Linked DNA regions of Macaca mulatta. The protein of the gene in region 1 purifies or fractionates together with the protein of each later gene. This does not show direct contact. Links are inferred from orthologs where the notes say so. Each region holds a gene or a part of one and is shown in the gene's direction. Other genes may lie near its edges. The genes, in order: RASSF3 and VAPA.

Evidence for each region.
Region 2: the proteins of RASSF3 (region 1) and VAPA purify together in Homo sapiens (co-immunoprecipitation; 3 studies listed by BioGRID and IntAct, with this or other methods). This does not show direct contact. The link is inferred for Macaca mulatta from reciprocal best matches to the Homo sapiens genes RASSF3 and VAPA.

What each region holds. Positions count from the first base shown.
Region 1 is NC_133416.1:71,727,496-71,744,295, forward strand, and holds the start of RASSF3 (ras association domain-containing protein 3), read left to right. Parts: upstream 1-9,565; 5' UTR 9,566-9,703; coding exon 9,704-9,814; intron 9,815-16,800.
Region 2 is NC_133423.1:80,885,471-80,901,794, forward strand, and holds part of VAPA (vesicle-associated membrane protein-associated protein A), read left to right. Parts: intron 1-5,543; exon of another isoform or gene 5,544-5,649; 5' UTR 5,650-5,707; coding exon 5,708-5,798; intron 5,799-8,308; coding exon 8,309-8,461; intron 8,462-12,253; coding exon 12,254-12,357; intron 12,358-13,409; coding exon 13,410-13,490; intron 13,491-16,324. UniProt on the Homo sapiens protein: Endoplasmic reticulum (ER)-anchored protein that mediates the formation of contact sites between the ER and endosomes via interaction with FFAT motif-containing proteins such as STARD3 or WDR44.

The sequences.
Region 1 (16,800 bases):
CTCATTCCATTAGGTCCTAGATATGTTGGATGGACAAATCTAGTGATGGAAAAGCCATTTGCTTTTCCTCCACCTTGTCCTATAAACCGGGGTTACCTCCAGGCCCACAGGTAACACATCCTTTCTTTGATTAAGGATGTGCCCAAACATGGAAATACTATCCTTATATGTAATCATATTAGCTAACATCATGACCTTTTATTATGTGCCAGGCACAATGTTTTGCATGTCTTAGTTTACTTAATCCCTTTAAGAATCCTACAAGGTAAGTGCATACTATTACCCTCCCTTTCCAGATGTAGAACTGTGGTTTAACCAGGTTAGATAATGTGCAGTGAGTCACACCATCTGAGCCCACATTTGAACACAGACAGTCTGATTTCTTTTTTTTTTTTTTTTTTTTTTTGAGACAGAGTCTTGCTCTGTCGCTAGGCTGGAGTGCAGTTGCACGATCTTGGCTCACTGCAATGTCCACCTCCTGGGTTCAAGCGATTCTCCTGCCTCAGCCTCCCGAATAGCTGGGACTACAGGCATGTGCCACCATGCCCAGCTAATTTTTGTATTTTTAGTAGAGACGGGATTTCACCATGTTGGCCAGGATGGTCTTGATTTTCTAACCTCATGATCCTTCCACCTCAGCCTCCCAAAGTGCTGGGACTACGGGTTTTCTTTTTTCTTAGACAGGGTTTCATTCCGTTGCCCAGGCTGGAGTGCAGTGGTCTGATCATGGCTCACTGTAGCCTTGACCTCCCAGGCTCAAGCAATCCTCTCATCTCAGCCTCTTGAGTAGCTGGGACTACAGGCACACACCACCATGCCCGGCTAATTTTTGTATCTTTTGTGGAGACAGGATTTCATCATGTTGTCCAGGCTGGTCTCCAACTCCTGGGTTCAACCTATCTGCCTGCCTCGGCCTCTCCAAATGCTAGGATTACAGGTGTGAGCCACCTGTGCCGAACCCAGGCTGATTTCTCACCCTGCATACTTAACAACCAAACACATTGCCTTTCAGTTATTATACCATTTATTCTTGTCATTGCCATGAACAAAATGGAAGCAACCAGGGTGATAGTAGTAGCCAATAGGCACTGACCAAAGAGAAGAGCCGCTGATTGCTGATTGTATCGGTTCAGCTACTACAGAGCCTGTCCTCCAGCTACCAGCCTGATGTAATCAACTCTTATCATCTTTGAATTTGTCATAGAATTTTTTTTGTTTGTTTAGACAGAGTCTTGCTCTGTTGCCCAGGCTGGAGTACAGTGGTGCCATCTCGGCTCACTGCAACCTCCACCTCCCTGTTCAAGTGATTCTTTTGCCTCAGCCTCCTGAGTAGCTGGGATCACAGGCACCCACCATACCCAGCTAATTTTTTTTTTTTTTTTTTTTTTAGTAGAGATGGGGCTTCACCATGTTGGCCGGGTTGGTCTTGAACTCCTGACCTCAGGTGATCTGCCTGCCTCAGCCTCCCAAAGTGCTGGGATTACAGGTATGAGCCACCACACCCGGCCTGTCAGAATTTTTCAGAGAAATTTTAGAACATATTTTTTTCCTTTTTAAAGTCAATTTAAATACCTCTGTTATGGTTTTGTTTTTTTTTTTTAATGTGAGAGAATGAACTTTTAAAATTATTTTTGGGGGAACAACTTAGTAATCATTTAAAAACTCTTACTTCTTTTTCTATCTGTCTCTACTGATTCTACCAACGTCAATGCAGGAGAACAGAACTTGGCAGAAATATTATGAGAGATATGACTATTCCAGCAGGAACAAAACAATGGGACTATAGGATGATAACAGGTCAACTCAACTGGCTTAAATAAGACAATATCTGGGCCGGGCGCGGTGGCTCACACCTATAATCCCAGCACTTTGGGAGGCCGAGGTGGGTAGATCACATGAGGTCAGGAGTTCAAGACCAGCCTGATCAACATGGAGAAACCCCATCTCTACTAAAAATACAAAATTAGCCAGGGTGGTGGCGCATGCCTGTAATCCCAGCTACTTGGGAGACTGAGGCAGGAGAATCGCTCGAACCCAGGAGGCGAGGTTGTGGTGAGCCGAGATAGCACCATTGCACTCCAGCCTGGGCAAAAAGAGCGAAACTTCGTCTCAAAAAAAAAAGCAACGAGACAATATCTTATGTCACATAACAAGAAGTCCTAATTAGGGCGCTGTCAAAACAAACCTGGTTAATCAAAGAGCTATGAAGTCTTTGTATCGTTCTGCTTTGCCATGTCTTCATGGTGTCTGTTTTGTCCACAGCATGGCTACAGAATTCCTTGGTACCATATGCAAGCATGCAAAGTCCAGAGGAAGAAAAGATAGCCTTTTTGTAGGTTTCTTTTAAAAGTGAGAAATATCTTCCCAAAAGGCACCAAGCTGACTTTCCCTCTGGTTCCAGTGGTCAGGTCTGTGAGACCCGTCCATGCCTAAAGCTATCCTTGGCAAGGGGAATGGGACCACCACGACTGACTCTGCACGTCAGGCTTTACCCTGAACTGAGATTGGACTTCTTTTCCTGAGGGGATTCTTGAATTAAAGTCCTTGTTTAGTTAACAAGAAAGAAGTGAGTGATGAATGTTAAGTATGCCATAAGGTCTAATATTTGGGGCAAGAGAGATGAATATTTGCTTGACCCTATTCTACGCCAAGGACTTTGCCTGGATTCTTTTACTTAATCCTTACAGTAAACCAAAGAAAATAATATGAGGACACTGTCATGCCCATTTTGCTGCTGATGAACCTGAGGCATAGAGAAGTTAATTAAACTGTTAAAGGTCACATAAGAGTCAGTGATAGAGTTATCATTCAAATTTGGGTCTGCTCGACCTCCAAGGGCATGCTTTTTCCATATCACACAGGTATCAAGGTAATACTTATTTGTCAGTATGTGTGTGAACCTTTTATAAATCTTTGGATGAAGCATCTTAGTTCCCAGCACATTGTAAGAGTATTACCTATGATTATAATTACACACATATAAATCTTATTATGCATGTAGTTTCGTGATGTGCTTTAAAAAATATTTGCCAACCTCATGAGTGAAAAAAAATAGACTTTGTTTTCATTTGCTTTAGTTTTCATAAGCTTCAGCAGTCTATTCCCCACCCAGCAAACAAAGGGGTCCATTAAGAAGGTAAGTCAAATATTGTCATTCCTCTGCTCAAAATCTCTGGTGGTTTCTCATCTCAGAGTAAAAGCCAAAACGGAAGTCCATACCATTGCTTTCCAGGTATTACAGAAACACAGAAACAGTAACCCCTCTGTCTCTGTCATCTTTTCTTTTTCTCTCTTTCTTTTTTTTTTTTTTTTTTGAGATAGCGTCTCACTCTGTCACCCAGGCTGGAGTGCAGTGGCACGATCTTGACTCACTGCATCAGTTACTTTTCCATCAAAATTCTTCCTACTATTCTGCTCTCCACTTGCCCACTTAGAAACACTGGCTTCTTGGCTCTTATTTAAACATGCCAAGCATCCTTCTGCCTCAGGGCCTTTGCACATGCTGTTCTCCCACCTGGAAATGTTTTTCCCACAGATATCTGTATGGCCAGCTCTCTCACCTCCTATACATCGTTGCTCAAATGTGACTTCATTGAGACCTTCAGTAACCAGTCCATGTACAATATTCTTTATCTTTCTTCCACAATTTTTGTGAAACTACTTATTTCCTTCTAACATACTAGCTCCATTAGAATAAGCATTTGTGTTTGTTTTGTCCAGTGATGTATCCTTTGTGCTAAGATCAGTGTCTAGCAGATAGTATATGCTCAATAAATATTTGTTGGCTGAGTGAATGTTTTAACATATAAATGACTGATAAATTATTCATATTTCTTCTTTTATGAACTGCTTGTTCTGTCTTTTACTTATTTTTCTATTGGGTGTTCAACATTTTTATTGATTTGCATGAGCTCCCTATATTTTAAGTATATCAGTCCTGTGTTGTTTATATTGCAAACATTCCCCCCATTTTTTCCTTGTCTTTTAATATTGTATGTATGTGTGTGAATGTGTGTGTGTGTGTGTTTAAAATATTTAAATTTTTACATAATCAAATCCACAAAACTTTTCCTCTGTAATACCGTGTTATCTTTATTAGGACAAATTAGCAAAAGAAATATTTTACTTCTAAATGTATTTAGTCAAAGGGTGAGTTGTGTTTGAAATTTTTTCTGCACTTATTACATCTGTGTTTCTATTATTCGTGGCAGTGGGTACTTAGCCAGAATATGATTTAAACTTTTTGATTGATAATCACATTTATATAGAATTGTTATTTTCATGACGATTTATCTGTTGAGCAAGAAAGGTTAAAACTGTAACTAAAGTCTCCCCTTTTATATTAAGGGAAATGATTTGATATACAGGATTATTAAAATTATAAAACATTTGTGTGTTTATAATACTTCACATCTTTTTTTTTAAAATTATAGTTTAAGTTCTAGGGTACATGTGCACAACGTGCAGGTTTGTTGCATATGTATACATGTGCCGTGTTGGTGTGCTGCACCCATTAACTCGTCATTTACATTAGGTATATCTCCTAATGCTATCCCTTCCCCCACCCCCCACAATAGGACCCGGTGTGTGATGTTCCCCTTCCTGTGTCCAAGTGATCTCATTGTTCAATTCTCACCTATGAGTGAGAACATGAGGTATTTGGTTTTCTGTTCTTGCGATAGTTTGCTGAGAATGATGGTTTCCAGCTGCATCTATGTCGCTACAAAGGACACGAACTTTGAGATGGAGTCTTGCTCTGTTGCCCAGGCTGGAGTGCAGTGGTGTGATCTCGGCTCACTGCAAGCTCTGCCTCCCAGGTTCATGACACTCTCCTGCCTCAGCCTCTGGAGTAGCTGGGACTACAGGCGCCTGCTACCATGCCCGGCTAATTTTTTCTTTTTTTTTTTGTATTTTTAGTAGAGACGGGGTTTCACTGTGTTAGCCGGGATGGTCTCGATCTCCTGACCTTGTGATCCGCCTGCCTCGGCCTCCCAAAGTGCTGGGATTACAGGCGTGAGCCACCGCGCCCTGCCCAAATAAAGTTTTAAATCGATTCCTCATTTAACGTAGAAACAAAGGCGTATTAGGCTATAAATGTAATCATTAGGATCTTATATCACTGAAATAGTAATGATGATACAGTCTACATACAAATTCAATTGTGTGTTTGATGATAAGTCCTTTCAAAACTGAACTTGAGCTGTGCATGGTGGCTCACACCTGTAATCCCAGCACTTTAGGAAGCCAAGGCAGGCGGATTACCTGAGGTCAGGAGTTTGAGACCAGCCTGGCCAACATGGTGAAACCCTGTCTCTACCAAAAATACAAAACTTGGCTGGGTGTGGCGGTGCGCGCCTGTAATCCTAGCTACTCAGGAGGCTGAGGTGGGAGAATCGCTTGAACCCAGGAGGCAGAGGTTGCAGTGAGCTGAGATCATAGCACTGCACTCCAGCCTGGGCAACAGAGTGAGACTGCATCTCAAAAAAACAAAACGAAACTTGAACTTCGTTGCATACATTTAACTTTATTTATTCTACCCCCTTCCCTGAATTTGAAATGTTAAAAATGTCTGGTTGTTTAACATGACATTTTGAATTTTTACAGATACAATTTTCATGAACTAAATTTTAAATTCACAGTATTTTAATTTAAAATGCTACTAAGCTAGGCACGGTGGCTCACACCTGTAATCCCAGCCCTTTTGGAGGCCAAGGTGGGAGGATCACTTGAGCCCAGGAGTTCATCAAGACCAGCCTGGGCAACATAGTGAGATCTTGTCTCTACAAAAAAATATATATATATATAAAAATTAGCCAGGCCTGGTGGCATATGCCTGTAGTCCCAGCTACTGGGGAGGCCAAGGTGGGAGAACTGCTTGAGCTTGGGAGGTCCAGGCTGCAGTGAGCCAACATGGCACCACTGCACTCCAGCAACGAAGTGAGACCCTGTCTCAAAAAAAAAAAAAAAAAAAAAAAAGTTACCAGAAAAATATACAAATATCATTACGCTGCTTTTAGGAAACAAAATCACAATTCTTCATTCCTTCCTTCCTTCATTTATTTATTTATTTATTTATTTATTTTTTGAGGCAGTCTCCCTCTGTCACCTAGGATGGAGTGCAGTGGCATGATCTCAGCTCACTGCAACCTCTGCCTCCAGGGTTCAAGTGACTCTCCTACCTCAGCCTCCCGGATAGCTGGGACTACAGGCATGTGCCACCATGCCCGGCTAATTTTTTTATATTTTTAGTAGAGATGGGGTTTCACCATGTTGGTCAGGCTGGTTTTGAACTCCTGACCTCAAGTGATCCGCCGGCCTCAGCCTCCCAAAATGCTGGGGTTACAGTCGTGAGCCACCTCACTCGGCCCTTTCCTTTATTTATGTTTGTTTGTTTGTTTTTTGTTGCTTAGAAGCAGTGCTTCCATTTCATTATTTGATCATCGCTTTTTAAATTATTTTATTTATTTATTTTTTTAAGAGACAGACTCTTACTCTATTACCCAGGCTAGAGTGCAGTGATAAGATCAGTTCATTACAGCCTCAAACTTCTGGGCTCAAGTGATCCACCCACCTAGCCTCCTGAGTAGCTGGGACCACTGGCATGTGACACCACATTGGCTAATTGTTTTTTGTTTTTTGTTTTTGTAGAGACAGGGTCTCATTTTGTTGCCCAGGCTGGTCTTGAACTCCTGGCTTCAAGCAATCCTCCCACCTCGGCCTTCCAAATTGCTGGGATTACAGGTGTAAACCACCGTGCCTGGCCTAATCATGCCTTTATAAAAAAAATCATTTTTTTTAGAGAACAGGTCTCACTATGTTGGTCAGGCTGGACAGGAACTCCTGAGTTCAAGTGATCCTTATCCTCAGCTTCCCCCTGTACCCCACTCAATCATGTCTTTTTATTATAACTGATTCTGATGGTATGCTGACAGATATATAAATTAATCCGGTCCTTTGGAACTTAAAAATAATACAATGAAAAAAATCATTTTTGTGGTGTGGTGCATCATAAAGCTATTTATTTATTTATTTATTGAGATGAAGTTTTGCTCTTGTCGCCCAGGCTGGAGTGCAATGACGCCATCTCGGCTCATTGCAACCTACGCCCCTCCCGGTTCAAGCGATTCTGCAGCCTCAGCCTCCCGAGTAGGTGGGATTACAGGCGCGCGCTACCACGCCCAACTAATTTTTGTAGTTTTAGTAGAGGCGGGGTTTCACCACGTTGGCCAGGCTGGTTTCCAGCTCCTGACCTCAGGTGATCCACCCTCCTTGGCCTCCTACAGGCGTGAGTCACAGCCCCCGCCCAATGAAGCATTTTAATGCATTTTTCCTCAAAGTATTGATAAACTTCAACTTGTTTTGGGTAAAATTATTTCCCCCTTTCTACCCACAATAAAATGAGTAATTTAAGTCCTTAACCTACACATTATTCTTACATTGGTATATTTAATAAGAGCTGCGCTAATATTATATCTGAATAATGAAATAAGAGAAACCAAAAAAGAAAAATTTGTCATAAAGCCCTATTCTCCTACATTAGATTATGTGCATGGCACACACAGGGATCAGCTTAAACTGGGTGAAACTTACATGGAGTTAGAATTCCTGGCTTCCTATCATTCAGTGGCTGTGTGGCTAAGAAGACTTTAATGTTGTAGGACCTTTAAAATGGGCTGTAACTCAAAGGCCCTTCTTCTGGAGTTGTTGTGAATCACGTGGGGTAATATACTATTTTACAAGATGGATGTGTAAGCCCTGAAGGTGGAGCAGATTTGCAAGCCTTCTTTCAGCCTGGGGACAGTAGGATGACTCATGAGCCAATTCTTCTCTCCTTCCCGTCATTTCGGGTCCAACTCTTCCTCCTGTAGTCCACAAAAGAGCACGGCTGACCGGCTGACCGAGACCAAGCAGAGAACCCAGTAGGGTTTGTGACCACGTTCAGATCAGCAGAACGCAGAGCAGAACGGTCCGAGTACTGCCGCCTACAGCCACTTTCCTCTCTTTAAGCCTCAGCTGCTGCTCTAGGTGTAAAACCGGCATAAAATAGTACTACCTACCTTACAGAGTTGCTCGGAGGATTGAAGGAGATAATGTAAGAGAGTTTGGCTAGTTTGGCTATGCTGGACATTTTCTCTTTTCTAACGTCTCTCTTCCCCTCCTAATGAAACCTCCTCTGAAGCTCGCTAACCATAGCAGGGCTTGCAGCTTCAAAATAACCTTTCGGTCAAGATCTTGAAATTAGTATGATTTGGGGCCGGGCGCGGTGGCTCAAGCCTGTAATCCCAGCACTTTGGGAGGCCGAGACGGGTGGATCACGAGGTCAGGAGATCGAGACCATCCTGGCTAACACGGTGAAACCCCGTCTCTGCTAAGAAATACAAAAAACTAGCCGGGCGAGGTGGCAGGCGCCTATAGTCCCAGCTACTGGGGAGGCTGAGGCAGGAGAATGGCGTGAACCTGAGGCAGGAGAATGGCATGAACTGGGGAGGCGGAGCTTGCAGTGAGCTGAGATCCGGCCACTGCACTCCAGCCTGGGCGACAGAGGGAGACTCCGTCTCAAAAAACAAAAAAACAAAAAAAAAGAAATTAGTATGATTTAAATCAGTGCAGTAACACTAAGGTGTAAAAGACTGTTACCCACAGGTGGCTTTAAAAGAGGATTAGCTGACTGGAAGAATTTTAGAAAACATGGAAACTTTTTTTTTGTACGTGGATGAATAGAATTCCCTGATCTCCTTATCCCCACCACTTAAACCATGCCTGTGGGTGACCGTGGAAGGCTGATTGTGGCGGGGACATTTACAAAGCACATTTAATTAATAAGCACTCGATTGTTCTGTAACTATAGAACTAGTTCACCCTTCAGTTGCACTGAGTGCGCCTAAGATAACGATCTTATCTGGAAGTGAGCCCTCGCTAGAAAGAAGGGGAAAAGGATAAGACCGAAGCTCAAATGAATGACCAGAAAGGATGTTTTCATTCGAATAAACTCAACCCAGTTGTTGACCTCCGCACCCATCTCTGCCAACTTGAAATCCTCCAGGCGGGGCGAGCTGCTGGGGTTCAGGACGGCTGCAGGAAGCCGTGGGACGTGGGGGGCCCTTCCACAGGGCCGGGCAACCCCCACCCACCCCCACCCACCCCCACAGGACCCTGGGAGGGGGACGAGCAGGGTGTGGACAGCAGAGAAAGTTCCCCGCTCTGCCCCCGCCCTCTCCGAAACTCGAGCCAGCAAGGCTGGGGGCGGGCGGACGGCTCGCAGAGGAATTTGCAGTTTCCGGGAGGTTGAGGAAGCGACCCGAGCACAGCTCCACCAGATGCAGCCCTAGTGCCCGGCTTTCCGGGTTCCGCGACGCTGCCGGGAGAAACCCGCGCGCCTGGAAGGGGCGGGCTGGGCCGGGCTCCCCCCACCTGCGGGCGGGCGAGGAGGGTCGGGCCCGCGCCGGGTGGGGCTCGGCCGGTCGCCCGTCCGGGGCGGAGCCCAGGGAGGCGGGGTCGAGGGCGCACCGGGGCCGAGCCGCGCCTGGAGCCGGGCGGGGAGGCGACGGGAGGGGCCGGGACGCCTGATTGAGCGGCGGCCGCAGCTGCAGCAGGACGGCCCGGGGCCGCGCGCCGGGAACCTCGCGGGGCTGGCGGGCGCCGCACCCCCTCCCTGGCCGCCTGCGCCCCCGGGAGGCCGCCCGGGCGCTACGGGACCGGCAGCATGAGCAGCGGCTACAGCAGCCTGGAGGAGGACGCCGAGGACTTCTTCTTCACCGCCAGGACCTCCTTCTTCAGGAGAGCGCCTCAGGGCAAGCCCCGCTCCGGCCAGCAAGTGAGTGCGAGCGGCGGGCGCTGCAGTCTGCGTCCCGGAGCTCCAGGGAACCCGCCAGCCCGCACCCCCTGACTCCACGTGTCTCTGCGGGGCGCTCGGGGGATGCTCGCCGGGAAGGAGGAACGGGCCAAGAAGTGGCTTCTGCCTTTTCGGGTCCCGGGAACGTGCCTGGAGCTTGTGCATGTGGGCGAGAGAAGGCGGAGGAAGGGCGGGGAGGCTGAGGGCCGGCTTCTGCCTTCCGCGCCAGATGGCCTCTGCAGCTCCATCTCGGGCCGCCGCCTGCGGGGAGCAGTCCCGGAGCCAGCAGGCGTCCCCGGGCCTCTCCCCCATGTTTCCCCTTAGCGTCCCCGCTGGGTCGACGGTCGGGTTCGCGCGCCTGTCCTTCCTGTTAGTCTGCTCACTCATCTGTGGCCCCCGGAGTGGCTTGGGGTCAACGTGTAATAGCTAGGGGTGGCCAGGTGACCTGGCCTCCCCTCTTCCTGGGCCGGGCGCCGCGGTGGGGTGGGGGTCCAGGGGTACCGCGGGCCTCGCTACCGTAGGCGCTAACTAAATCTCGGTTGCGGGACTCAGGGTTGTGCGTTTCCTGTAACGCTAGGTTTTTTGGTGCCCAGATGTTTTGCAAACAAGCTCCGATGCTAAATACTAGCCAGCGACAGCTAACCTTTTGGCCGGTTTCTTCCTTTTTTGGAGGCAGCACGCCGTGGGAAGCACGACTTGGGAAAAGATGGGAAGGGAACTTGTGCCAGTTTCGCCAGCCGTAGCCGTGTTTCTTAGGGAGGCCTTCCCGAAACGGGGCACGTCGGCTGGACTGAGGACCCCGGTGCTAGAACCCGCGGCCTCCTGGCACTGGGAGCCGCACCAGGGAGCCGGGCCAACCCGCTCACATCAGATTACAGAAGATCGTAATGGAACAAATTTGTTGCTTTTAGAAAATAGGCGTTTGCCAGACATTTCTATTAATACCAGACTGAGACCTAGAGACTAGAAGCAAGAAGAATCGTTCAGGGGCCGGATGATAACTTTTTCTGGTGGGTGTGGGAGGGTGCAATCTGTCAGGGTGGTCTTGCCAGACCTCTTAAGTTTAGCCACTTGCTGAAGTAAAATTCTTTCTAAAATTCGGAAGTTGTAGTCTTTTCAGGCTCTTAAGTCTCAAACCAGGAGGAGGAGAGGAGACGGTGAAGGGTAAGCTAAAGTCAAGTGCCCTTATTCAGTAACCGCAGTTAATCTCCAGTCAAGTCCCAGTGCCATAGTTGTCCGTCTTGTATTGTTTCTAAGACTTAAGGCCCCACTATTTACGAGTCACTTTGAGTGGGATCTCTTACTTTCCGCAGAGTGTGTTCTAAAAGCATGAGATTTTGCTGTGAAGTTTGGAAGTTGGAAATGCCCTCCCCTCCCCACGCCTACCCTCCCTGGGTTATAGAAAAATTGCATTTGCTTATGCTTTTTCCATTTTGCTTTTCTCTTTCTTGGCTCTCTCTTCCCCTTGTCCGTTTTGCATTTTCTCCTTTCGTTTATGTTGCTTTCATCACTTGACATGAAAAGGAACTCATGCTAGTTTGAAGTTTATTCCAGAGGTGTCTGCTAATCTGAAAACTAGCTGGTTCTTGGATTCTCCAGGGGTGAGATGCCACAAGGGCCAAAGTATTCAGATTGGAATTGTATGACAATCCTTTAGTGCTTTAAAGAGTAAAGACATCAGATTTCTTTTCCAGGTTTATATGCATTTAGCATTTTTTTTTTTTTTTTTTTTTTTTGAGATGGAGTCTCACTGCATTACCCAGGCTGGAGTGCAGTCGTGTGATCTCAGCTCACTGCAACCTCTGCTTCCCTGGTGCAAGCGATTTCCTTGCCTCAGCCTCCCAAGTAGCTGAGATTACAGGCATGCACCACCACATCTGGCTAATTTTTGTATTTTTAGTAGAGATGGGATTTCACCATGTTGGCCAGGCTGGTCTCCAACTCCTGGCCTCAGGTAATCTGCCAGCCTCGGCCTCCCAAAGTGCAGGGATTACAGGTGTGAGCCACCGCCCCTGGCGCATTTATTGTTTCTATGTTGTATGCATTAATTTATGTAATATTCATCTAGCATATATACTCAGGGTAGTAGTATTTAGCATTTAGAATTAGTCTAACGTTAATATGTATTTTGAAATAATGTGTTGGAAATCAGGACAGGAAAACATAGTTCCGTGCTTGAAGAGCTTCATATGTGTATCTGAAGTTTTATTGCCTGCATATTTTTCCCTTCTAATATAAGACATGTAAGGTGCTGAGTTGTAGGAGTTATTTGCCAGGCGAAGTGTTCTAAACTGAATTTTAGTGGGCATTGTGGTTTATTTAAAGAGGTGATACGAATGTTTTAAAATTCCTGGTAAGATTGGTGAATTAGGGAAGTAAAACATCATAAATTTAAAGCAAAGCGCTCTTAATGTAGAACGTTTCTTTTCTCTAAGGTTAGATAAGCTTTTTTCTTCATTTTCATGCTGATGATTATAAGAATAAGATAAGCACTTCTGACATATAGCATAGTAGTGAAATTTATCCTTTCTCTAGAGAGATGGAAAGAGAGGTGTTGCTAGAAGGATCTATTAGAGATACAGTGATTTTTTTTTGGATGTTGTACCACCTAGTGGAAAAGTGAGAAAAATTAGGTTTCTAGAATTCTTGAAAATATGCTGAGAAAACAAGATGTTTGTGGTAAATGCAGAGTGGGGAGAAAGGGGTGAGGGAGCGGGTGGACTAGAAATTTCTTTCTTCTCTTGCCAGGCAAGGGAACATAGCCTAACTTCTTTCTATCCCCAACAGTAACAAAACCTTATAGATATAAAGAAAATATGGCCGGGCGCGGTGGCTCAAGCCTGTAATCCCAGAACTTTGGGAGGCCGAGACGGGCGGATCACGAGGTCAGGAGATCGAGACCATCCTGGCTAACCCCGTGAAACCCCGTCTCTACTAAAAAATACAAAAAACTAGCCGGGCAAGGTGGCGGGCGCCTGCAGTCCCAGCTACTCGGGAGGCTGAGGCAGGAGAATGGCGTAAACCCGGGAGGCGGAGCTTGCAGTGAGCTGAGATCCGGCCACTGCACTCCAGCCTGGGTAACAGAGCGAGACTCTGTCTCAAAAAAAAAAAAAAAGAAAATATTATCATTTTTTTTTCCTTATTTTAAACCCCATTCTTAACAACAACAACAACAACAAAATGGAAAAGGGTTAAAAACCTGTCTAGGCCAGGTGTGATAGCTCATACCTGTAATCCCAGCACTTTGGGAGGCTGAGATGGGAGGATTGCTTAAGCCCAGGAGTTCGAGAACAGCCTGGACAACATGGCAAAACCCCGTCTCTACAAAAAAAATGCAAAAATTAGCCAGGCATGGTGGTACCCGCCTGTAGTCCCAGCTGCTTGGCAGACTGAGGTGGGAGTATTGCTTAAGGCTGGGAGGCAGAGGTTGCAGTGAGCTGTGATTGCACCACTGCACTCCAGCCTGGGCAACAGAGCGAGACCCTGTCTCAAAAACAAAACTGTCTAAAAGATATAAAGGGAATGAACATAAAACTTTTTGTGGCAGTTTGAATGTTATGTTTATTGTATCCCCAGGGTCTGGATCAGTACCTGATATACAGTAGTTGCTCAGTGAATGCAAGCTGAATGAATGAATGTTTTTCTGATTTGATAATAACTGGATTTTTTTTATTTTTTTGAGATGGAGTTTTGCTCTTGTTGCCCAGGCTGGAGGGCAATGGCGCGATCTCGGCTTACTGCAACCTCTGCCTCCTGGGTGCAAACGATTCTCCTGCCTCAGCCTCCCAAGTAGCTGGGATTACAGGCGCCTGCCACCATGCCCAGCTAAATTTTGTAGTAGAGACGGGGTCTCACCGTGTTGGCCAGGCTGGTCTTGAACTCCTGACTGCAGGTGATCCACCCACCTCAGCCTCCCAAAGTGCTGGGATTACAGGTGTGAGCCACTGCGCCTGGCCCCTGATCTTTACCATTTTCAAATGTACTCTATCTTATGGTTCTCCCAAAAACTGTATGAAACATTAACTTAATGAAAGGGGGAGGTATTATTTAGTGATTGTGTAAGGCCCACACCTAGATAGCAAGAAGGCTGGAACTCAGGTTTTCTGACTCAAATTACACTCTCCATTTTGTTGCTTTTTAGCTATAAAAATAATTTTACGGCCCCATATTCCCTTTGCAAATAAGGACACCTAAAATTTAAGAGTTTCTTAAAAATTTTTTTTTTTTTTTGAGATAGATTCTCACTATGTTCCCCAGACTGGAGTGCAGTGGCGGGATCTTGGCTCACTGCAGCCTCTGCCTCCCAGGATCAAATGATTCTCATACCTCAGCCTCCTGAGTAGCTGGGATTACAGGCATCTGCTGCCAGGCCTGGCTTTTTTTTTTTTTTTTTGTATTTTAGTCGAGACAGGGTTTTGCCATGTTGGCCAGGCTGGTCTTGAACTTCTGACCTTAAGTGATCTGTCCTCCTTGGCCTCCCAAAGTGCTGGGATTACAGGCATGAGCCACCGTGCCTGGCCGTTTCTTAAAATTTCAACTCCCTGACGTGCACATATTGTCATGACAGTGTTTATAATTTGTATTTGTGGATTCCTTGTGTTTCAAAGGATCCACCTAATCATTGTTTTCAGCAGAATCAAAAATGTGGACAGTTCTGTAATTTATTATATGCCTTCTTGATTTCCCACCAAAATCAAACTGCCTGTAAATAGAGGACACATTCAAATTTCCAAAGAGTAGAAATGGTCTAAAATTATAATCTGTTGGAGTGTGTCTTATCTCTTAGCTAAGCTCCCTCTCCTGAGCCTTTGGTAGTTCATGGGAATAAGGAAATGAGACAGTTTGCTTTAGAAGTAGGATAGTCAAGAAGTCTTGAGAAACGTGAAATTGTCTTCTGAACAACCCACACATAAAAAAAATTGTGCTAAAGAATTTTTCAGTAAGTAAGCCTATGAGACTCCACATAGCAGGCCTCATCTTCACCCTTTTGGTTTTCCCTTTCTTATTCAAATACTTTTGTGCCTCAGTTATTTGGTTGTGTCTTACTGCTAGAATCAATAGTAATGAGCTGCACTCTTTTATTAGTGTTTCCATTAGAAGTTTCAGAGCTAGATCACTGGGGTAAAAGGATCGTGGTTTATGACATTATAGGTATTTTGACTATACTAGCCGTTTTTTTTTTTTTTTTTTTTTTTTGAGATGGAGCTTCGCTCTTGTCGTCCAGGCTGGAGTGCAGTGGTGTAATCTCGGCTCTCTGCACCCTGTGCCTCCTGGGTTCAAGTGATTCTCCTGCCTCAGCCTCCCGAGTAGCTGGGATTACAGGTGCCCGTCACAATGCCCAGCTAATTTTTTGTATTTTTAGTAGAGACAGGCTTTTGCCATGTTGGGCAAGCTGGTCTTGAACTCCCGATCTCAGGTGATCCACCCACCTCGGCCTCCCAAAGTGCTAGGATTACAGACGTGAGCCACTGCTCCTGGCATATACTAGCTTTTTAAATGCTAATTTTTAATTCCCGTATTATGGAGCATAAACATTTTCACTAGACATTTTGCCTAGCGCAACGTGATTTACACATCTTGTCTGCATGTCTGATGTGTTCTGTTCTTACATGATATTAATCCATTGGAATTTTGTGTTTGTGTGAGCAAGATTCACAAAGGCATATTCCTTTAAATGAATTTCAAGAAAATTAGTTTCTAGTCTTATAAAGCCTCATATTTGAGCAATATACTCCTTATCCCATTTCTTCTTCTGGCTAACTCGCAAGATTTGGAATTATTTGGAAAGCAGTGACACAAAACATTTTTGAAAAGAAAGGCTAAAAATATCCAATAATGTGGTTTTTCTTTTTAGACTTCCTTTGGCAGTCAGTGCCTGTCATACTGTTAACATTCTTTTTCTGGGAGAAAAAAAGACCGAGGCTGACCAAATGCTTTCTAGTGTGGCCTGATTACCAGCTCTTAGCCCTGGGCATTAGCCCTTGCATTTTCCACCCCCAGTCTCCAAGCAGAAGTAGCTGTCTTTAAATAAAGGTCCCAGTTTGAAACATGCATTTCACTCCTAATTTGGCCAAAGGCCATTGGCTAGCAGTCCCTCTTCAGAGGGGATGGTGAAAAGACAGTAGGATATATGATAAATGCATGCAAAGGAGCTTCTCTTCTATATGACAAATCTTGGCTAACTTAGCCTCTTTATATCTTCCTTTCTTTGAAGAGCTACACACATTTGCCTTGTAGGAAGTTTTTATTCTCATCACAAGCAGGCCTCTATTACAAGGCCCCCGTTTATTGTTCACCCTGTGATGTAATAACTTTGAGGACTTTAGCCATGTTAGCCTTCTCTTTAATTCCTTTCAGGCCCCATCCCCATCTTGGAACCATGGCCAGGAGTTGCCGCCCTCCATTCTCCTTAACATGTCTACTCAAAAAAGTCTAAAAGCCCTCTGTTCTTTCCCTTCATAGCAAAAATTACAATTTGTCATTATATTTTGTTTAATGAGGACCGAGATTAGCATTTTTTACCTACTACATAAAATAAATTCTTAGCAGTTAAGGTGCTTGAAAAAATGAAAGCCTGCTCATTTTGGATGGATGTCCCAGTATTTGGTACTGTTAGTTTTCCTTTATACACGAATGTACACAGTGTCTCCCCCTTTCCAAACTAGACCATAAGCCTTCACAGTATCTTACTGGTAGTAGTGATTTAAAATGGTATGGTATTGGTGATACCTGTGATTACTGGTTAGTCAAAATTCACTTTATATACTTTTCCCTTGTTTTAAGAAAACTCATCATGTATTTGTTAATCTATTTAGTTGACAATTTATTGAGTGCCTACTATGTGCCAGATACTGTTCTAGGCTCCGGGGTTAGGGTGGTGAACAATATACAGTCCCTAGCCTCTTTTGGCAATGTTTTTAAAAAGCTTACCCGTGGCCGGGCGCGGTGGCTCAAGCCTGTAATCCCAG
Region 2 (16,324 bases), on another chromosome or scaffold:
GAATGTTTGATACTGTTCTGAAAATTCAGATTTAAAGGAGTGAGAAGTTTAGTTACATATCTTTCAGCCTTTTAAGGAAATGATTAGATTGAATTACCATTAAAAAGTAAGAATGTTAATTAAAAAAGAATTGTTGCTGTGAGAGGACTTTTAAACGTACATTTATTGTATAACTTGACAAACTTCTCATGGGCCTATGTTTTGACAGGTCTTTTGTAGGTGTATGTTTCATGTATGTGTATATATGTGTGAAGTGTATATGAATATGTATATAATTTTAATTCTTGAATGACATGTAGTGACTGTCATACTTTAAAGATATAGGGTGCCTTTGAATCATACAGTGTGTTTCCTGTTTAGTTTTTCTTGTGAAAATTTTTTATTTTTTAAAGCCTGTAAGGCAAGAATCTCTTGGTTTTGTTTTCTGAGTACTGTTCCCACTGAGAGAAACCTTACTAACAACAGATCCCCAAAAAATCTGTGGTTCTGAATTTTTTCAGCTTTTTTCTTCCAGGATTTTACAAATAAGACGATTTATAAGCAATTAAGCTACTATGGGTGCATGTTTAAAAGTCCCTTCTTATATAAAATCAATGCTAAATGTAGAAAATGAAAGAAGTATAGATATAAAGCCGATAAAAATTACTCAGTCTCACAAAATAACGACTGTTAACATTTTGATAAACTTTTTATAACTATGCTGTGTATAACTCTATGTATCTATATCTTGTATGTTTTTAGTTAAGATTATTGTGATCGTTTTTTTCATGTTATGTTTTCCCCTGGCAAGGACTTTATATCTAAATAATTTAAAAAAAGTTTTATTTCAGGTTCTCCAAAAATGTACCTTATTTTCTATTTCTTCATATCCTACCTATGTGGAGTCCAAAAACTTAAACTTTGGATGTGGACCACTCGTTTCTATTTTAATCCAGATATTACACTAGCATTGTTCTTTTACAAATAGATTATGTTTGTGTAAATCTTATTCTTCTTTGGAAGTTTAGAGTGGAGGGACATAAAATTGATATGAAAATGTTGTAAATCAAAGTGTTCCACTTCTATGTTAAGACTATTGTTTATTTTCTCTGCCTTGTTTTCAAGATTATGTCACCAGGATTGTTTAGGTCAGACCGAGCATTGTATGTATCAGAATACCTTAAAAAGCACTCCTAAAATGTTTAAGGTAGTTTTTTAAAAATGTCAATAAAGGTGTGATGGGTTTAAGATTGAATTATCTCTCATCTTTACCGTAGGGTAGAAGATGTTCTTTAAGGTGGTAAGTAAAGTTAATCATAATGTCGCATGATTTTACAGCTGAAAGAAGCCTTAGAGATCATTTTGCCTACAAATTCTAAAATGAAGGAGGTTAGACTGGGATAGAGAGGTGAAGTGATTTACCCAAGGTCAATCACCTAGGTAATGGTTCTAGCTGTTAAGCCTCTGATTGAACATACTACATTATGCTTTTTTTTTTTTTTTGAAGTCATGGTATAACATCAGTAACAGAAATCAGCATTTCTCTTTCCCCAGAAGGTTGCCAAAAGAATGGAAAGAAGTGTTTTAATTTTTTATTTAGGTACCTGTTTATGTAAAGGTGATGGATGAGTATTTATACGACCAGAACAATACTACACTGTATGAAAACGGTGTAAAAGAAGTAAAAGACATGGTCCTTTCCTGTTGGTAACTTTTTCACACTGTAATTTTAGGCTCCCAGAGTGGGAATACTGGTTTATAAAAAATGATTACATGACTATATTAAGTGGATTTTGGAGAGTTTTCATGATACATTCTGAAACTGTTAGTTGATTGTGTAACATGGATAAACAGGGACAGTGAGGCAATTTCAGTAATTAAAGCCCATAGAGGCTTAAATAAAATAGTGCAGTCTTGCTTTTCCGTTAATCTCAGGATCCATATTTTTATGATGTTAGTGAAATCTTATAAAGAGATATGTTTTAGTGCTTCAATGACTAAATTTTTTTAAATAGAACTAAGACTCATTTTCTTTTCCAGAAAGTAGTACTCTATTTGTACACTATTTATACAAAAATGTTTCTTCAGTAGCTACTATGCCAGGCATTGTGTTAGTTGCTGGGGATACAGCAGCTAACGAAACAAAGACCTAGTCTTCATGGAGCTTACCTCAAGCCTGATATTTCAATGTGTTTGAAAAAAATGTATAGTAAAAAATTTGTAATAAGAATGTTTTAGGACTTTCTTGGATGTAAAATGTAAAATATTTTTAGAGTGCTTGATACTTATTTCAGGAAGTGTTCAGTGTTGACCTATGTGACCAGGAGAAATACAATACCCATTTAAAAAACCTTTTTCATATATGGCTAATTTGACTGCACTTTCATGCTTTATTGCTGCAGAAGTCTACCTGGAATACTTATGAATTAGAAAATAAATACCGCTAGGTTATACGTTCAAAATGTATGAGAGTTCAGGCCCTAGAGTCAGACCTGGTTTGACTTCCCACTTTCATTGCTTTGAGTTGTATGACCTTGGACTAGTGTTTACCTTCTGAGTTGAATCATCTGTAAACTTGGTATATTAAAATACAATGAAAGTATCTACTTCATGGACTTGTGAGAGTTAAATAACATAGTTTGTACAAAGTTATTGATACATGAGTGCCCAATAAATGCTAGCTATTCCCTTAGTAGATATTCTGTGTACTATATAGTATTAATATGTTTTGTATATATGATTGCGTTAACATGATGCCACAGATACTCAGCAGCATAACCCTTATGTAACTGGGAAACAGTTCAATCAGTGATACAACTTAATTCTAAAACCTGTTGGAAACATTGAAGGTAGTCATCACCTGCATTGCTGTGGCTACGTTGTTTGTGTATTTGAGCAGAGCACCCAGCCTTCCTCATTAGTCCGCACTGCGGTAGCCAAGAATTTACAAAGACCTTGTCAAGAACTGTGAAGGGACTGAAAAATTTTGCCTGCTGCAGTTTTGTAGATGTTGGTAGACCATGTGAGATTTCCTGAGTTAGACAATGGACATAATTTTTCATGGCACTGCAAGTGGAATGGGATTTATATTTGTGTTGGTTTTCCTTGCCCTTCTCAAGTTCCATGGAGGTGACAGAGGTGTTCAGGTAGAGACTGCTCACATAATGAGTTTGCATCATAACTAGAAACCCTGAACTTAGAGAACCTGAATCTTTCATAGTGGGCTGCACAGAAACCTACCTGACCTTTAGTCCAGAGGAAGACCTTATCTTTATTATATTGGCCGCTGAACAAACCTGCCCCTCTCCTCAGAAGGGAGGTGTTGTCTTCTAAGACACTTCACTATTTCATACATCCTTGAAAAGATAGTCTCGGTAAAAACTCCCAGGACTTCTCCTTGCAAGATGTGCAGAAATGCTAGAGGCCCATACAGAATTGTCTCCTAAACACGCCTCTGAGTAACTAGCCTAAATGGGGTCACAGAGTTCATAAATTAATGTTCATGTACATTGTCTGTTTATTCTTAAGCTACATTTTTGAGGCGTTTTCTGAAATGTTCTGTGTGATATACTCCTGCTTATCCTGTATTAATTTTATACTCTTTAACAAAACAAATACGAAAGTTGATACGCATACTGAGGTGTTCAGGAGTGACCGTGCTGATGTCTTCAGCTTGCTTTGATGTGCATCAGAAATGAAGTGGATGTCTGGACAGGGCAGATAGATACGCTGCAAAGTAAATACAGCACAATGTTGATTGTAGAATGTGAGTGATGATGTATGAGTGTTTATATAGTTATCTCAATTTCTGTGTCAAATTTTTCATAATAAAATGTTGGGGGAAAAGCTAACTGTTCCCCTCTTCCACAGTTGATTCTCTTTGCAGCTGAACTGAACTCAGGATTTCAAGATAACTTTGTTATCAGTAGTTCACATCAAAATATGGATGAATGATAACAGTTTTTAAGAGTGGTTCTTTTTGTTTTTTGTTTTGTTTTTGGTAGCTCTTCTTAGCTTAGTGGGATTCCTTTTAAGACTGGGCAGTTTGGAGAAGAAAGGTCCTGCTATTTAAAAGGAAGCCGTTGTTCTGAATGGTTGAATTTTACATATGTGGACTGACTAAAAAGGGTATTTCATGCTGGAAAAAAGGTTTTTAGGCAAACGAGGCAGGCCAGTCCCACTTGACTGCCTTAAAATTGGCAACGAAGGCAGCTCTGGGTGAGCTGCCTTAAAATTTTCTAGTATTTTTGACATCTCACGTTGTAAGTTTTAAAAAAACTTATGTTCAGACTTTTTTACTCAGAGGCCACATTTGTGTTTGTGTTACATTTCTGTTTGATTGTAAGAATTTGGGACTAGGAGCAGGATTTTGACTTAATGGCAGTGACAGCTATAGAGGAGTTGGGACAGAATACTTAGTGGCAGGAAATGGTCAGGCTTCCAAAGAACAACAGCCACATAATTGAAAGGTAGAAGTATTTTAATTGTAGATTTTCAATATAAGAGTGCAAATAAATGTAACTTGTATGCAGTTTTCTTTTTTTATACGGGATAGTTCATTATAAACAGTGACATATCTCTAACATAAGTTTTTATCAGTACTTTTGATTAAAATGGACTAGTTCAAAAATTGTTTCCTAAATGTTAAACTAAGCATTTATATCGGGCAAATGATAGGATTTCCCCATTTATAGGGATTAAGTTTCAGAAATCCTCGAAACATATTTGTTCACTCCATAAATTGCATCAGATGTTCACTTTGTCATCAAAACTGCTTTTCACTGTTTTTTTCAAATTTTCAAGGTTATGTCAAGGATTAGTTTTTTTAAAAAAACTTTTTTGTTTTTCATAAAGAAAAGATATATACAGTTCAAGGAATTATTAAAAATTAAATACTCATATAATCACCTCCAGGGTGAGAAATAGAACTTGGCTAGCATTCGGCAAAGCTCTCCTTTTACCCTCTCCCAGTTACTTCCACTGCAGGATTAACCATTATCCTGACTTTTATGGTAGTCACTTGTTTCTCTTGATGGTTTAATCACCTAAGCCTTACAAAGGATACATGTTCAATTAGTAAAGCAGGAGATTATTGGTTTAATTCAGGGGTTCTTAACTCTAACTTCATACCTCATTTTTAGATTTTGTAATGTTCCTATTACTATCCTGAAAAGAAATTCATATATAAAATGACCAATAACATATGTAATTAAAAATTTTAAAATATATATACCCTAGCTATATAACATAAGGGGAAAAAAAGGAAGTAATTTTATAATGGAATGCTCATTTTAAGTGTGTTTGGGCATGACTACCCTAGAAGACATAATGAAGAAGTCAAATACTTGTACCCTACTTAAGTTTGTAGTCAGATGTTTGTATCTACTTAAGATGAGTACGTTTGGATTTAAGAGAAATAAGACGAGTTATCTGAATAGTACTGACAGTTTTTCTTAACATTGATAAAAGGGCAAAATAAGAATATGCATATAGGTAGATTCATGTGAAGGTGTCACCTACAAATGCCTGCTGACTAATTCAGATGTGTTGTATTGGTGATTCAGGTATCATGAGTGGCATTGCTATTGGTAGACTAATCTTCTGTAATGGTGAACTCACCTTTTAACATTTTGAAGAAAAGAGTACACATTTTTCCTGTTCACATAATAGATGAATACTTGGAAAAGAGATTTTCCACCAATATGAATTTCTGGAGGAGTATTTGAAAATGCGATGCAGTGGGAACATAGGACTTCATTGTGTGGGTCTGCATTGCAGAATGTCTACTGTCCTGTTTCCTGCCCCCACCTCCCACCCCAGTAAGTACCACCCAATCATAATGCCTAATGAAAACACCTTGTAAGGGGCAGTATCACCTAAAGGGTTATGTTTGTAGCACTTTCAGTAGGTATATAACTTCTCTTTTCCGAAGATCTTAAGGTAGATTTCTTCGTCAGGCCTTTTAAATCAGCAGCTCCTGGGGGTACATGATACAGCCCCTCTATCCCTGAACCCAGCTCTCTAACTCGTTTTACCTTCCATAAAAGTCAGTGTAAAATTTTTGTGAATATTTACCTATGTATGTTTTTCTGAGGTGTAGGATACGGCTTTCATCAGGTTCTTAAAGGATTCTGTAACTCACAAAAGTGGACCACATATTTCTTCCCATGACCTTTTTTAGCTGTTAAATCTGGTTATTCCTTTGCTAATGGTCATAAGTACTTGATAATTTTCCATTTTAAACTAGGAAAGGGGCTCAAATCTTAACTATCTGCTGGGAGCAACCCTCATTGAGAGGCTAGGTTAGAGGGATATACAATGGAGCAGAAAATCTCAAATTCGTTTGTTGGGTGGGTTTATTATAGGTAATTCTACATTTTACTTGCAAGGTTAACATGCCGTGTTAAGAGTTTTGTTCTGAATTGGTGGGGTGTATTTCTTTTGATATATTATCATCATCTTTAGATAATTTATACTTTTATGTCTAGAAATCCCACAATCTGTATTGACAATTTATAATCCCTGGTGGGCAATATCATGAAATGTAAATACTATTTCAGAATTTGTACAACTCTTGTAGAGTTTGTTGATCAAAACTGACCCACAGTCATTTTAAAAATCAGTTAAAAAATTATTTTACCTTAGTTTGGATAATTGGTACTTTTTAAAATTGGAGAGAATTAAATTAATAAAACATTCAAATACTAAAAACTTACATAATTATGTTATGAAAATACATAAATACATAATTAAAAATAGGTATTCATATTATGGATTAGGATTGTTCAAAATTAAAATTTTGTGACATGTCTTTTTGTCATGTTACTAAGAAATTGGATCTTTATTTTAATCTGTGCTTGCTACTAATGTTAAAGTCCTCAAAATAGTCCTATAAAATTTTACATTAATTTAAAGTGTTTGTACTAATTATGGATTTGAGAATGTTAAGAAATGGAATTCGCCTTTAAGACTTCTAGTTTTATCAGTTCAAAACATATCTCCAGCCAGCCATTTTGTGGATTCCTGTAGTAAAATGGACACATTGGAGTTTTTTGTCTTTACTCTTATACTAGTTTTATGGTGGAGTTGTTAATCAGATGCTTTTCAAAAAGAAAATGCAAGCACTTGGGGTTGAAGAAGCAGCAAGGGGTGTATGTTGTAAATGGAATGATTAGTTTGGCCATATAATGAAACAAGCAGTTCAGAACATTGTACTTTATCACATGTATGCTTTTTTTCCCCAATATTAAAATGCTTTCTTTTCTAAAACCTGCCTTTACATGCTTTCTTCTAATTTTCACTCATTTTTATCTCCTTTCTCTCATCCTAGTTCCAAATTTTTATTTATTAGAAAATATTTTACTACTCACAAACTTTAAGCATAGGATAAAATCAGTTTACTTCTTAGGGCTTGATAATAAGTGTCTTTTAATGACCTTGCCTTTGTAAAATTTTAAAAGACATGCTTATTCTTAAAGTTGAAATAAAGAAAAGATAGCCTTTATAATAGTTGTCTTTGATTCCAGCCTTCTAGCTTTTTTTAAAAAAAATATAACTTCAAACGAATTGTTTTTAGAATCATTTAAAATTACTTTTGGAATAGTTAGAACTGTGGTTATTGTTCCCAACTGGAACATGTTTTTATCTTCTGCCTCCAAATTAACCGGTATTTATTTTGTTGTCTAAATTAATCTGCATAATTTTTCTTTAGGCCTTTCTTTAGCAAAATGGATGAGCCTTTTGGGTTCTTTGTTTTGTGATTTTATGTTGTTTGGGTGCAGAACCAAAGCTTAAAAACTTTGTATCTAGAGCATATGGCATAATAAACACTTAACAAATATGTGAATGAATGAATGGATTGAATGAATGAACAAACAAAATTGAGGTAAAGCAAAAGCACTGATGTCATAGGGTGTAGGGTCTTCAGTTGTAGAGATTTTTGCAGTTGGCCTAGTAAAATGAACTTGAAGATTGACACTGGTTTGCAGACAACTGGGAAATTCTGATATTTTCAGCAATGTGTTAACAACATACTATAAAAATACAGTTGTAAACTTCATAGATCAGAAGTTTCACAGTACTTTTTTTGATAGAAATCATACATGTTTATGGTAGAAATTTTGTGAAATACAGGGAATGAAGAAGAAAACACGACTTTTTTTTAAGTCTACCACCTGGAGAAAGGCAGTGTTAGTAGCCATTTGGGATATTTATGCCTACAAATGTCAACACATAATTAAAATTGAAGTTACGTACTTTCAGTTTTGATTCCTTTGTTGTGGAGAATCCAATTAAATTTTGTTTTCTCTTTAATTTTTAAACTTTACAGGCCCCTTCACAGATGTAGTCACTACAAATCTTAAATTGCGAAATCCGTCGGATAGAAAAGTGTGTTTCAAAGTGAAGACTACAGCACCTCGCCGGTACTGTGTGAGGCCCAACAGTGGAATCATTGACCCAGGGTCAACTGTGACTGTTTCAGGTAGCAAATCATGTTCTGGATTTATGTACATTTGAATTTTGACATTTTATGATTCTGTTTTTGTTTAATAAGGTTTCATCTGGAGGGAGGGAGATAATTCTTCTATTATTCTGGCTTTGCCTTTAAAGATGTCTTGTTATTGTACTATATGCAAGCTGTTTCAGAAAATTTCTCACTCTCATCTGTGTAGGGAGTGTGGTCAGTTTATAAGAAATTATTGTCAATTACAAACTTTATATCTAGTCTTTATTTCTACAGCTAACCACTACCTTCTCTGCCTTTGTTATTTTATCTTTGAAAAATTATACCATTTTTCTGATGGGTCATTCTCCTTCAGATCATGATCATATTATACGTTGCATGCAGCTGTAGAAGTGTCATAATTCTTCTGCTTAAGAAGGTATAATGCCACTTTTTTGCCTACTGTGTCAAATCAGATGAGTCTTTATGTCTTTCATTGTAAATGTCAACAGTGTCCTGCGTGTGAAAACTTTTATTTTACTACTCTCTTACGTGTTTACTTGTCAAAGAAGTATGCTTGCCATATATGGATTGCTTACTCCTGCTATGGAGTCGATACTGGTACCATAGCTAATTCCCCTATAAACTGTTTTTTTCTTTCTCAGTCCCTCTGACTTCACTGATATAGCTGAGAAATAGGAACTAAATATGAGAACTTATATGGTTCCATGTATTTTACTTAGGGGAGAACCTCTGAGGCTGCATTTACTCTTCCTTTACAGCAGTACTTCTCAACTCCCACTATGTGCTGTAATAACGCAGGGAGCGGGAACACACATGGATTCATCTCTCTCAGATCAGAATCTCTGGGAGCATGGCTTAGAAATGTGTACGTTTATGCTGGGCGCGGTGGCTCACACCTGTAATCCCAACATTTTGGGAGGCCGAGGCGGGTGGATCACGAGGTCAGGAGTTCAAGACCAGCCTGATCAAGATGGTGAAACCCTGTCTGTACTAAAAATACAAAAAATTAGCCGGGTGTGGTGTTGGGCACCTGTGGTCCCAGCTACTTGGGAGGCTGAGGCAGAGAATTGCTTGAACCCAGGAGGCGGAGGTTGCAGTGAGCCGAGACCACACCACTGCACTTCAGCCTGGGCGACAGAGTAAGACTCCATCTCAAAAAAAAAAGTGCACATTAAAAAAAAAAAAAAAGGCCTGGGTGATCTTGATAAGTAATCCCAAGATACAATAATTCCATATCAGTTTTCAAGTCCACAGCAGAATTGGGTAGAGAGAGAGAGAACCCAGGGTAGGCTCATTGAGAGTATTTAGAGGTGGAACCTGAGTGCAAAGGCCATGAAGGACAGACCATCGAGTTTTTGGTGACGCTAAATCTTCTCTCGGCAGGTATAGCCAAAAACCTCAACAGCGAGGAAAAAGATGTTTTAGTGAATCTTGTGTTAAGGAGGCCTGGGAGGAGTGCCTTTCATGTTTCTTTGCTAAGTCTAATTCATCAGTTCTTGGGATGAAGAGATGGGAAATAAAGATGAAGGAATGCATGCTCTCTGGATGTTGCTGCTTTCGACTACATCTTTAAGCCTTTAGCACAATTGGAAGAAGAGATAATTCTTTCTTGTTTTCTTTTTTCTTTTTTTTGGAGACAATGTCTTGCTCTGTTGCCCAGGCAGGAGTGCAGTGATGTAATCTCAGCTGACTGCAACTTCCGCCTCCTGGGTTCAAGTGATTCTCATGCCTCAGCCACTTGAGTAGCTAGGATTACAGGCGTGCGCCAACAGCCTGGCTCATTTTTATATTTTTAGTAGAGACAGAGTTTCACCATGATGGCCAGGCTGGTCTCGAACTCCTGACCTCAAGTGATCCGTCCACGTTAGCCTCCCCAAAGGCTGGGATTACAGGCGTGAGCCACTGCACCTGGCCAGAAGATATAATTATTTCAATCCACATGGCTAAAAATAGTTTATTGGTACAAACAGTTATATCCCTAGGAATCCAAACAGCTATGCAGAATGATTTTTTCTTTGAGGGGCCTAGATTGCTGGTTTCTGTGTATTAATATTTCTTGAGAAAATAACGTATCAAAGCATTTTCTTCCACAGAAACCTGCCTTATTAAAACCTGCAGACAAACTGGTTACTGATTACACAAACATGCCCTTGGATTGCTCTACTTCAATGAGAATTTGACTTTTCCAATTTTTAGTGTAGTTTATTTCCATTTACAGTCACTCAAAGGTATGCTTCTTCCAGCAACCTTCTCTGGTTAATTCTCTGTACTACATGCTCATTTCTCTTTTTCCCCGTGTCCCTTTGACACTTTTTTTTGAATTTGTTCCAATTTGTGCACATTTTTATATATGTTTTCAAGATCGTCTTTGTCTCGTTTTGTGGTCTGCAACCTAAATTAGAGTGTAACTGCCATGAACTTAACCATGTTGTAAGTTTTCTTTTTATTCACAGATTTTTGGTTCATAGTGATTAGCTTATAATGATTACTTAGTGAAGGTTGCTAATGGAATTTTATTTAGCTTAAGCTGTATTCTGAGGCATTTTATCCAGTACATTTCCTGCTGCTGTGTATTTGGCCCCTTGAAAAAGTTGTCTTAACCTTGATAGCAGTTAATGGACTTATCAGACACACCTTGTGAATAAGACTTTATTACATAATTGTTATTTTCTACATTTATTTACTCGTGTTTATCTTTTCGAAAGTGTGGAGATATATCTTAGAAATAATCCAAAGTTAGGGAAATAATTTCTATAATACCGTGTACATACTTTGTGTAACTGTTGATTCATTTTTTATATAGTCTCATATTGGACTCACGTTACATGAATTTAGCATGACTTACAACCACATGGAACCTTAGAAAACTTAAAAGTTGGGAAATTATAAATGCTTAAAAATTTTGAATGTTATTGAGACTGTAGAATATATTTTAGAAATCAAGAGGCTATATGGTTTCCTTGTGTACTTTTGTTTTCTTAGAAGATTGAAATAAATTCATAAACTGAAATAGATGTTTATTTAAAATACATTTTTGAAAAATTAATTATATTAATATATGGGCTGGGCACTGCGGCTAACGCATTTATTCCTAGCACTTTGGGAGGCTGAGGAAGGCGGATCTCTTGAGCCCAGGAATTTGATACCAGCCTGGGCAAAATGGCGAAAACCCTTTCTCTACAAAATGAGCCCAGGGAGGTTGAGGCTACAGTGAGCAGAGATGGCGCCACTGCACTGCAGCCTCACGACAGAGTAAGACTCAGTTTTAAAAAGCAAAAAATAGATGGTAGTGAGGTTTTAAGTTACTATTTCTCCTTTAAATATGCCAGCTATATAATTTTAAATCAGAAAACACTAAAATGAAGCCTAAATTCATAACGAGTTTTAATAACTTAGTAGATTTTATCTGAACTTATAGGCATTATAGTTAACACTGGCAAAGTTTTGAAAATTTTCACAAGCTGAGTTTAGAAAGGGCAAAATCATAGATTCATATTTAATTTTTAATTGCAATTGTTTATTTTGTTGGTTGTGGAAAACTTAGTAAATTAGAAAGGCAGACAATTTGAAAATACTTGGGATCCATTAAGTTGATTCTGGATTCTTAAACATTCTGGTGTTTGGTTTCTTGAACCCTTCTTGGTTTTCTTTAAATTTGCATATTTGTGAAGTAATGGGAATGATACTATGGCCAGATACTGTTTAAGGCAAATCCCGGACTTGGTATAATTTAATCTGTAACTGTTTCAATGTATGTCTTTCAAACATGCAGGAGACAATATAATATATCCTTTTTTTCTTATTTAGTAATGCTACAGCCCTTTGACTATGATCCGAATGAAAAGAGTAAACACAAGTTTATGGTACAGACAATTTTTGCTCCACCAAACACTTCAGATATGGAAGCTGTGGTAAGTACAGAAGAAGAATTTATTTTGGGGAGTGGAGTTTAAACTGTGGGTTTTGTTCAGCAGTCAGTAGAAAAACTTAATTTCTAAAAACTAAAAGTTAAATTTAGATTTTTAAAAAAGTGCCAATATCTTCATTGTAGATAATCCTAACTTACAGAATGAAAGAATTTTTTTTTTTTTTTTCTTTTTTTGAGACGAAGTCTCGCTCTGTCACCCAGGCTGGAGTGCAGTGGCGCAATCTCGGCTCACTGCAAGCTCCGCCTCCCGGGTTCACGCCATTCTCCTGCCTCAGCCTCCCGAGTAGCTGGGACTACAGGCGCCCGCCACTGTGCCCGGCTAATTTTTTCTATTTTTAGTAGAGACGGGGTTTCACCATCGTCTCGATCTCCTGACCTTGTGATCCGCCCGCCTTGGCCTCCCAAAGTGCTGGGATTACAGGCGTGAGCCACCGCGCCCGGCCAAGAATTTTTAAATAGTATTTTTTTTTTTTTTTAGAAACAATTTAGAAATGCTGCTACTGGCCTAGTGCAGTGGCTCACACCTGTAATCCCAGCCCTTTGGGAGGCTAAGATGGGAGTATCTCAAGCCCAGGAGTTCAAGACCAGCCCAGGCGACATGACAAGACCCTGTCTCTACGATTAAAAAAAAAAAAAAAACAAAACCCAACAAGTAAAAAAACCAACAGATGCCTGTAGTCCCAGCTACCCAGGAGGCTTGCTTGAGCCCAGGAGTGGCCACTGCACTCCAGCCTAGGAGACAGAATGAGACCAACTGGAAAAAGAGAAAAAAGAAAGAAATGCTGCTCTTAAGAAGAAAGTCCTGTGGTTGCTAGTGATATCATCGTGATTTTAATGGATGGTGATAGTAACTCTAGGATTATATATTCTGTGACATTAGCCAGTAACAATGGCAGGGTGATCAGTGAAGAGGGCACCAGTGTATTTCAGCCAAGCCAGGCAGCTACACTCATCTTTTAGCTGTCCCATGAGGTCACACTTACTTACCATGATCATACCTCCTATGTCTCATTTTTGGTTTTGTTTATTTTTTAGTGGAAAGAGGCAAAACCTGATGAATTAATGGATTCCAAATTGAGATGTGTATTTGAAATGCCTAATGAAAATGACAAATTGGTAAGTAGGAAAATGTAAAAAAAAATTGAAGCTGTTGAGCGCTCAGTTCCTTTGATTAATTTTGCTTCTATTTTTGACCTTTGAGGTATGTGTGTTATGGCTCTTTCATGTCATAAGACTCAGTGGTTAAGTTTTAAAAAACTTGGTATACTTTTTTTTTTTTAAAAAATAACATTTTGTTTATCCAAGAAGAAAGAAAGACTCACTTTTAGGTCTAGACTACATCCTGGAGAAGAATCCTTTAAGTATAGCAGATTTTTGTGGCGTAAACCACTACAGGTTCTTTTTTAGAATGAGACATGTATACATAATTTAAAAATACATATAAATTGCTTTTTGGCCATTATGTACCAGCAGTTTGGGGATAAAAAATTCACTTACATGGACAGTTTATTCCAGGTTTAGCTATTCCCAGGTATTTTGCTCACTTTTGTTTTTAGTCAAATCCATCTGATTGCATTCTTTAGTAAATAATTGTTATGCTGCTTACTCATTAGTGTAGGTCAAATACAATTTGGGGGACTGAGGGATATATGTGTTTATTTAAAAACAAACAAATAGTAGTCGGTGAATGTACAGAGTGGATTATAGTCACTTACCTTGTCCTTTTCCCTGTCTGGGTTGCAAATTTGAATCTTTCCCTATGGTAAGAGAGACTTGAAAGATAAGTTTTTCTGTGTGTGTATGTGACTTAATACATACAATAATATGGATAAATAGAATTGTTTGGCACGATTTGGTTACAGTCTGACATGACTACTGCCTTAATCTGGTGGCAATTTGCTCTATTGAAAAGTAAACATGCAGATTAAATACGTGGGCTCAGTTACTGTGTTTCTCTTTCAGGATAAGCAGAAATGAAAAGGTCTCTGGCAATTAGGTGTTGACCAAATTAGTTTTTGAATTTTTAAAATACCTCTTTTAAGTGATTTTTGAGGTATTTGCCAAAAGCAAAAAAATGTGAACACGTATATTCTCTGTAAAGTGAGTGTTAGATGGTCTGTGTATGCTTCCCATTTAGAGGTTTTCTTTTTTGGCTTAGGCTGAGGGAAGCTAATAGCTTGCACAGCTCTTACTGTTGAAATCAAGAAAACAAAACAGCGTATTGTCTGGATTGACTTTTTAAAAAAACATTTGGATATTTTCTCACTTAGAGTTTTATGTCATTTTTTACAGTAATTCAGTCAGCATAAATCTGTCTTCTATCTGGGCTTCTGCTGTGCTCTGGATAGCACACACTTTGAGGTGTGTGAAAAGGATTGAGACCGCAGGTATTTGATACTGCTGATTAAGAGTAGCTCTCACTGGTTTGGAAACCAAACCATTACTGATACAGTAATGACAGTTGAACCCAGCGATTTACCCATCTTGGGTGAAAGGAGCCGTTATGCCTACCTGTTGGTCTAGCCCATAGTTATCCAAGAAAGTAGTTTTGGGTCTCTTTTAGCGCTTGAGCAAATACCGAATGGAGTTCCCAGAATCGCCTGTGGTGGAACTCGAGCAGCAGTAGTTTGAACGTGGAACCTTTTCAGAGCAGGTATTACTAGTGACCTGAAAGCTGTTAAGTAACTTCAAAGTACTCTAGAGAATATCTTGAGTCTGAGCCTTGATTAGCTAGGTGCTCATGTATTTTCACTAATTGGATTATCTGGACTTGTATATTAAATTGTAGGAAATATCTGCTAAAGATAATTTTTAAGAAGATTTATTTTGAAAAACTTGAAGCACCTAGAAGAGTAGGTAGGAGGAGTATAATGCACCTCTGTGAACTTATGAGCAGCTTTAACAATGACTAGTTTGTGGTTAAGCTTATTATATATAAATCCTATTACTTCTCATCTTAGGTATTGTTTAAGGCAAATCCCAGACATGGTATACTTTAATCTGTAACTGTTTGAATGTATATCTTTCAAAGTACTTTAAAAAAAAAGATAAAAGAGTTTTAATGACAATACTGTTACTATGCCTTTAAAAATTTAGCATATCCTTAATATCAGGCTATCCAGGCAGCATTAAAACTTGTCACAGATGTCATTAAAAATTTTTTTTTTCTGCAGTTTGTTTGAATTAGATGAAAATAAAGTCCAAATAGTTGTTCTTTTTTTTTTTTGTTTTTCTTTGAGATGGAGTCTTGCTCTGTTGTTCAGGCTGGAGTGCAGTAGCACGATCCTGGCGCACTGCAACCTGTGCCTCACGGATTCAAGCAGTTCTCCTGCCTTAGCCTCTAGTAGCTGGGATTACAGGTGCACGCCACCACACCTGGCTAATTTTTGTATTTTTTGTAGAGACAGGCTTTTGCCAGACTGGTCTCAAAATCCTGACCTCAGGTGATCCACCTGCCTTGGCCTCCCAAAGTGTGCTGGGGTTACAGGTGTGAGCCACCGCACCTGGCCGAGTCCAAATACTTCTGTTGGATGATACGTTTCTTAAATCTCTTAGTTTGTTGTTTCCTCTCTCTTTTTTTTTTTTTTTTTTGCAAATTATTGAATGTTTTTAGTATTAAACTATGTTTGCCTATAGACGTTCCCACAGACTTGATTTTGCTGATTCCATCCTTGTGGTGCCATTTAGCCTTTTTCCCCTGTCCCTGGTATTTCCTATGATTGAAAGCTTGAAATGAGTGGTTCTCATCCAGGGGCAATCGATTTGCTCCTCTAGGGACCGTGTTTGGAAACATTTTTGGTTTTCATGACTGAGAGGTAGGTAAGGGTGCTACAGGTAACCTGGTTAGAGGCCAGAGATGCCTTTCAACTTCCTGTGATGCACAGAACAGCCCCCACAACAAAGAATAATCTGGCTCAAAATGTCAGTAAAGTTGAGATTGAGACAGTATG